Callithrix jacchus: one gene and its partner. Each later gene encodes a partner of the first gene's protein in a complex. Links are inferred from orthologs where the notes say so. Each region holds a gene or a part of one and is shown on either strand. Other genes may lie near its edges.

Region 1 (3,743 bases):
AGTTCCATGAGCTGCTTCCTCAGGAGGCTGCCGCTCTCCCGTTCCTTTCCAATTCAGTCGACCTTGCCTTCTTGATCTTGAAGGAGGGGGATCACTGTCCTTGATCTTTATGAGGTATTTTCTGTCACTGTCTTCCCTTCACATTCTTTAGATAGGTTTCTGATAAGTTTCAAGGCCTATTCTGAGCAGATGTATCTATTAAATGGTTGCTTCTTGGTAAAGCTAGCTTAAGAGTCTGATAAGTTTCAAGGCTACTGTTGACGTAAAGCTTTCTTTTGCTATCTTCTAGTGAAGACAGAAGGGAAAGAGAAGGAAAGAGGGAGAATGAGAGACAGAGAGAGAGAGAGATTACACTTAACTATAATCTACCCCAACAATGTTATGATTGATCATTCCATTTTTCACAATTATCTGAGCTGAAACTTAAAAACAATGGCTTAAACAAGATTAAGAAGCTGCTTCCCAGATTCAAGGTAGCTCCATACCAGCTTATTGTCATATCTATAATTCTGCCACTAGAAATTATTTTCTCTGGGCTACTAGAGATTCACAACATAAAAATAATGTAAACTATCTGTACTGATTTTTTTTTTGATTCGGGATGTCACCCAGGATGGAGTACAGTGGTGTGTGTGGCCTGGAACCCCTGGGCTCAAGCCATCCTCACCCACCTCATCCTCCCAAGTAGCTGTAACTACAAGTGTGTGCCACTACGCCTGGCTAATTTTTTAATGTTTTGTAAAGATGAGGTCTTACTATGTTGCCCAGGCTGGTCCTGAACTCACACAATCCGCCCACCTTGGATCCCAAGTGCTGGGAAAGTGCTGAGAATACAGGCATGAATGAACTCTCCTGGCCCAGAGGTTTACTTCTATAAGCCATCAACAACTCTAACGCTCTCCAGGGTGACACATACTTGAGAATAGTTCTATAAACAATAGGTAAGCTTTGAAAGGGAAGAGAGAGAGAAAATGGGTCTACCGTACTATCCTGAAGAGCCCTGCACACCTAAGAAAAGAAAAACCAGGGGAACAAAGGAACATTAACATTACTTTCACCAACTTTCTCATGTTTCTCTGGGCAGTCCTACAATTAAGTCACTAAAAAGGCCATCTACAATAATTTCTGGAAAATAAAAACAAGCAAATGTTCATGTAAATGGTTGGTTTTGCATTTATATATTGATTTTATGTACCAGATTCTGCTTAAACCTCTTTCCATGCGTTAATTTTCACAACCCAAGGTACGAGCATCATCTCCTCCAAGGTGAGGAAATTAAAGAAGAAATATTAAGTAACTTACCCAAAGTCACACACCTAGTGAGTAGCTAAGACCTCAGCCTTGACTGCAGAATCTGTGCCCTTGAACACTAAACTGTCTTTCCAGAATGATGGAGGATGATGATAACCATTAAGCCAAAGAAGACAAAGAAGCAAGCTATCTACAAGCCTGAGGGTGTTTTCGCTGCCAGAGTTACTGCCACCAAAGGTTAGAGCTCAAAATTTGAAACAAGAGGTAGAGTCAGGTGAGCTAAACTGAGTCATCCGACAGCGCTGTTCGAACCTGGGTGCGAGAGTTTCTGACAAAACAGTTCCCCAGCTCTGTGGAAGGCACACGTTCTCCTCTCGACAACTTCATTCCTCTAACAACGAGCGGGAACTCCAGGCGTCCTTCTGAGAACAGGACACCTGATGGGGCGCAGCCGAACTGGAAATGACTCGCGGGCATCCTGGTCCAGTCCTTACTAGTCGTGTTCCGCTGAGCAAGTCGCTGATCCGCGGGGGCTTCCTTGGAACGGGATGGTAACAACGTTCCCACCTAAGGGGTGCTGCGAACGCCGAGGAAAACGGCTCCGAGCTGCCGCGGCGGCGAGGGACGACTGGAGGACGGCGGGCCCCTCCTCGGAGCGGAAAACCGGAACGGCGCGCTGAGGCGTGGATGCGGGGAGGCCGGGAGAGCGCGAAGGCCGCTGCGGGGGGTCCTCCTCCTGACGCCGTGACTGCCAGCAGGACCCCGCACGAGCGGCGGGATTTTTCTTCCGTCCTCCCCACCGCGACACCCCGTCCCGCCGCACCTCCCACCGCCCACCCAGGTGCAAGCGCCCCTCGCCTCCGCCCCCGGCATGGCGCCATGGCCCCTCTACCCACCTCGGCGGCAGGAGCAGGCTCGGGAGACGCTGCCACCGGTTCCTCTCCGCCGCCGCCGCCAGCAGTGCCGACACCGCGGAGACCGCCGCCATGTCCCTGGGGCCCAGCCGCTCCGCTACTCCCCGGCACTGCGGCTGCCGCGTCCCACGCTGCAAACCCGACCCTCCGCTCCGAAGCCTCGAGAGCCCCGCCGGCCACCGTCGGAGTCTCAGCCTCGCTTTGGGCCTATCCGAGCATGTGAGGGCGTCTCCACAAACACCAATCAAAGACCAGAGTTCGGCTTCCGCAGCGACGATTGGTCAGTCTGGCCGCGTGCCCGCGGGGGTGTGGCCTTAGTTTCTGCGCCACACGGGCCTGCGCCGACTCCGGGAAGGTGTTTCCCCTTCCTCCGCCTCCTGGTTCCCTGTCACTGTTTTTTCTTGCCTCCTGCGCGGTTCCTTCACTCTTGTCAGCTTCTGGGAGACGAGCCCTGGGGGAAAAAGCCAAATGCGGATGGAGAGCAGGATACACAATTCTCTAGTGCTCTCAGGGCAGAATAAATAAATAAGCGAAATTGAAAATCTTTAAACCACCTGAGCTTAAAGCAGGTGTTCCTACTGAGTCTTGGGAAAAAGAGGAAGTCAAAGAGCAACAGGAATATCTAGAGGATAAAGATACTGCAAACACTGCAGGTGGATGCTTCGTGAGGAAAGCTGGAGGAAGAAATTAGTGAAGATGAAGGAAGAAATAAATGAATTCCGAAAGCCAGTATCAAAGGACTAATATACCCACAGGGTCACAAAAATTCATAAAATAGTTATCAAATCAGAAATAAAGAGAGAAAAACGCACGTTTGACATGATTTAAAAAACATAAGCGGGGGAAAATCACAGACGGGAAACAAATTGTAGATTTGTAAGATGCTAATTTTGCTTAATTTCAAGTAAACTTAGAACTCTGGATGGAATGAATGATGTTTCAAGAAAATACAATTTGTCAAAATCGATCCTGGAAGAGACAAAATATAAGCAAACCATTACCATAGAAAAACCAGAGAAGTTGAACAAGAGCTGCCCTTGCTACCGCCCCCCACTTCCATCTTCACCTTCACCCCCAAAAGTTACGAAAGCCCACCTTGTCCTGCAAGAAAATTCCACACAAATGAGGAGTTGACTCAAACGCTATTAATTCTCTCCCAGGGCATAAAAAAGATGGACGTGTTCCAAATTCTTTTTAAAAAGTAAACATAATTTTGATACCAAAATCAACAAAGATATCATGCACACACACACACACGACAGACCAATTTCACTTATAAATATCAATGGAAAAATTCTAAATAAAATATTAATTGCACTGGGTGCTGTGGCTCATGTCTTGTGACCCCATCACTTTGCGAGGCTGAGGTGGGAGGACTGCTTAAGCCTAGGAGTTTGATACCAGCTTAGACAACATAATGAGACCCCCATCTGTACAAAACTTTTTTAAAAAATTGGGCATGATGATGCATGCCTGTAGTCCCAGCTACTTGGGAGACTCAGGCAGGAGGATCACTTGAATCCAGGAGTTTGAAGCTACAATGAGCTCTTATGCCATTGTACTCCAGCCTGGGTAACA
Region 2 (3,743 bases), on another chromosome or scaffold:
CCTCAGTCCAGGAATGGGAAGACACAAACAGCAGACCCGAATCCACCCTGCAGTGGAACAGTCACAGCAGCCAACCACAAGCCACCAGCACAAATGAGTGAGAGATTAAGAAACAAATATTTGTTGTTGTAAGCTACTGAGATTTTTTAATTGTCTGTTACAAAGCACAACCTAGCAAAAGGTGATTCATACAAAACCCATCACCAAATATCCTCTCTCTCATCTGCCAAACCTCACTCCTGGTCCTAAAGACTTGTTTGTATTAATGACATTTCCACCAACCTAAATATTCTGCCCAGCTGGAAACTCCAAAGTCATCCATCTTTCCCTTCCACTCAGTTATTAACTCTGTAATTGTCGTTCCTCGGGCATCTCTAACGCCCCTACCACATACAAGTCTAATTTGACTCCTTCATCTCAAGACTCAACTCTCCACTGTCACCTAGGTCTAGTCTTTTCCCTACATCAATCCATCCTTCACACTGCCACCACACTGATGATTCTACCATATCTATAGGATCATGCCACTTATCTACTTAAATTTTCTAATGGGCAGCCTGCAAAATGGAATCTAAATGTGGCTTTTGCATGCAAGATCCTCCTCTATCTGGTCCCATAATCAATCAATCCCATCACCAAACTATTCCATGAATTCCAAGCCCTCTTGTTGCCCAGGCTGGAGTGCAATGGCGCAATCTTGGCTCACCACAACATCTGCCTCCCAGGTTCAAACGATTCTTTTGCCTCAGCCTCCTGAGTAGCTGGGATTACAGGCATGCACGACCATGCCTGGCTAATTTTGTACTTTTAATAGAGACGGGTTTATCCATATTGGTCAGGCTGGTCTTGAACTCCCAACCTCAGGTGATCCACGTAACTCGGCCTCCGGAGCTGTGTTTACAGGCGTGAGCCATTGCACCTGGCCAGATATTCACTTTCATAACTCCGTACCTATGTTCTTGTAACTCTCCTGGTTTGTATAGTCCTACTTTCCATCCTGAACCCTGAACCTGGCCAGCTCTTACCCAAGATTCATCTCACCTATTACTTCCTATCTGTAGCTTTCGTAACCACTGTCTCAAGCTTTAAACACCCCTTCTTACACTGTACCAGTTACCTGCTTTCTTGTCCATCTCCCCTACAAAATTATAAGTTCCATTCCTGCACATCTATACCAAATATCTAAATTAAGTGCCTAGACCACAGTAACCACTTAATAATTCTGAACTAGACATTCTGTCCTGTGTTGTTTGCACTATTTAGATGTTATCTGTATAGGCTTAGAAATTATGGGAACAGAATGAAATTTTCCAGCTCTGATATTTCACAAGCTTTAAGTGTTCTGGCCTTATGATGCCTCCTAATTCCAGGAAAAGCCACTCAAAGACACTGTGGGATGTTTTCTATTAACATAACCAACTTTTTTTTTTGTTTGTTTTTGAGACAGAGTTTCCCTCGTTACCCAAGCTGGAGAGCAGTGGCACAGTCTCAGCTCACTGCAACCTCTGCCTCCCGAATTGAAGCTTTTCTCCTGCCTCAGCCTCCTGAGTAGCTGGGATTACAGGCACGTACCACCACGCCCGGCTAATTTTTGTATTTTTAGTAGAGACGGGGTTTCACCCCGTTGGCCAGGGGGGGGTCTCAAACTCCTGACCTCAGGTAATCCACTCGCCAGAGCCTCCCAAAGTGCTGGGATTACAGGTGTGAGCCACCGCGCCCTGCCATCATAACCAACTTTTAAACTAAAACTTCGTAAGCACAGCGCCCCTGGTTGGGGTGTTCTAGGCCAGTGGTTCCCAAAGCTGGCTGCCAAAAGTACCCTAAGGACTTCACTACAATGAAAACACCACGACTTTATCTGAGATCCAGAAGGTCCAGAGTGGGGCTCAGGCCGCTATTTAAAGAGCTCTCCAGGTGAGAATTCTAAACCAGGCTTTAAGAACCACTGATTTCAAAGACACAAAGTACAGTGCCAGCTCTAAAAGTGAACTAAAATTTCTTTTATCTGTTAGGCTTTCCTTCTTCAAACTTCTATGGATCCCAGAATCTGGGAGACTGGGGCTCCTGAGAAGAGAGCAGCAGCTGTTGAAGCCTGCCCCTACCCACTTGCTTCCTCCACTTGCGGCCAGGCCCCCGGGGCGCTCAGCCTACCTGGTAGACGGCAGAGCCCGCGTCCGTCTGGGTGCCCAACGAGGCCACCGAGTCCCCGTGATAGGCGCGCAGCCCGGCGGTAGCGGCGCGGGCACAAGGCCACAGGGCTAACCTCCGGGCGGCCCACATGGCGGCGGGCACAGACCGAGTGAGCTAGGAGAGCGAGAAAGCGGCCCGCGCTGGCCTGGAGCCGGTGCTTTCCCCCGCCGCTTCCCTCGCTGGGGCTAGGTTCGGGTCCTTGCAGCCCTAGCGAAGGCCTCTCGGATTCTCAGGCGGGCCTGCCCCCGCACGTGCCTAAGCGCCCCGCCCGCGATTGGTCAGGTCGCGCCACGCCCCCTGAGCCAACCAATAAGGAACAGAAGCTCAGCCCCACGAGATCCCGTCCGGTCTGGAGCGCAGGAGAGCTGGGCTCCCGGCGGAACAACCCTCACGTGACCAACTGGGTGCCCCGAAACGGCGCAGTGCTGAAAGAGCTGTGGTTGGCCTTGGGTTGGTGTGTTGATACAGCGATAGATAATATCACGATGGTGACTGTATCTGAGGCAGCAGAATAAGGGTCTGGAGGCAGGGAAACTAAAGCTGTCTCACACTGACTTCATAGAGCTAAACTGAAAGGAAAACCCTAACTTTCCATGCCCAAGTAACAAAAGGATGAGAGGCTACTCCCTTTGCAAACCCCCCAACTTTTCCGCCTGGCAGATAGGAAACTGGCTGTCTGCAACAGATCAGACTGACAGAGTCTTCCTTTGCAACTTTGTAACTTAACTCCAGCCTCTGAATGGTTGCTGTCCATAACCAGTCAGACTGATTGGGGGCCCAGTCTTCCTTTGCATAGAAGTATAACTTTGTTGGCCGGGCGCGGTGGCTCACGCCTGTAATCCCAGCACTTTGGGAGGCCGAGGTGGGTGGATCACGAGGTCAAGAGATCAAAGACCATCCTGGTCAACATGGTGAAACCCCGTCTCTACTAAAATTACAAAAAATTAGCCGGGCATGGTGGCGCGCGCCTGTAATCCCAGCTACTCAGGAGGCTGAGGCAGGAGAATTGCCTGAACCCGGGAGGCGGAGGTTGCGGTGAGCCGAAATTGCGCCATTGCACTCCAGCCTGTGTAACAAGAGGGAAACTCCGTCTCAAAAAAAAAAGGATAACTTTGTAACTTCACCTCCGATTGGTTGCTTTTTGCTGTTTGCACAGGAGTGTGACCTTTGTACCTCACTTCAGCCTCTGGTTGGCTGCTTTCTACAACCAATCAGACTGATTGTGGACTACCACTTCATTTATATGATGGGAAACTTCTAGTGGGTATTTGGACCCGAGAAGATGCTGTATCCGGTCCCTTGAGCTGCTGCTCGGTCTGCTCCCACACTGTGGAGTGTAATTTCATTTTCAGTAAATCTCTGCTTTTGTTCTTTCGTTGCCTCGTTCTTTCTTTGCCTTGTGGGGCGTTTCTTCAAATTATTTATTCAAAATGTCAAAACCTGGTCAACTTGCTGTCACGACCCTCTACCGGTGACACACCAACAACATGGTTCAATCACATCTAACATGTGCTTGCGTACAGCACAAGTCTTTTGTCCTTTCACTGGAGAAC

What was found. The genes of interacting proteins can lie anywhere in the genome.
Region 2: the proteins of MCCC1 (region 1) and MCCC2 are in contact, whole or in part, in a cryo-EM structure (PDB 8JXM), measured with the Homo sapiens proteins. The link is inferred for Callithrix jacchus from reciprocal best matches to the Homo sapiens genes MCCC1 and MCCC2. Residues at the interface, in NP_064551.3 of Homo sapiens: Glu519, Phe526, His531, Asp532, Phe534, Ser535, Pro536, Phe537, Ser538, Ser539, Ser540, Ser541, Gly542, Arg543, Arg544, Leu545, Asn546, Ile547, Tyr549, Thr550, Arg551, Tyr568, Tyr636, Leu637, Ser641, Glu644; in NP_071415.1 of Homo sapiens: Leu56, His57, Val60, Glu61, Lys64, Asp88, Ile91, Pro93, Gly94, Ser95, Pro96, Phe97, Leu98, Glu99, Gln102, Ile123, Gly124, Arg125, Gly128, Glu130, Arg234, Trp276, Leu278, His281, His282, His285, Lys298, Lys299, Leu300, Ile304.

What each region holds. Positions count from the first base shown.
Region 1 is NC_133516.1:11,354,963-11,358,705, forward strand, and holds the start of MCCC1 (methylcrotonoyl-CoA carboxylase subunit alpha, mitochondrial), read right to left. Parts: upstream 2,344-3,743; 5' UTR 2,240-2,343; coding exon 2,148-2,239; exon of another isoform or gene 1,303-2,147; intron 1-1,302.
Region 2 is NC_133503.1:139,599,386-139,603,128, forward strand, and holds the start of MCCC2 (methylcrotonoyl-CoA carboxylase beta chain, mitochondrial), read right to left. Parts: upstream 2,422-3,743; 5' UTR 2,281-2,421; coding exon 2,152-2,280; intron 1-2,151. UniProt on the Homo sapiens protein: Carboxyltransferase subunit of the 3-methylcrotonyl-CoA carboxylase, an enzyme that catalyzes the conversion of 3-methylcrotonyl-CoA to 3-methylglutaconyl-CoA, a critical step for leucine and isovaleric acid catabolism.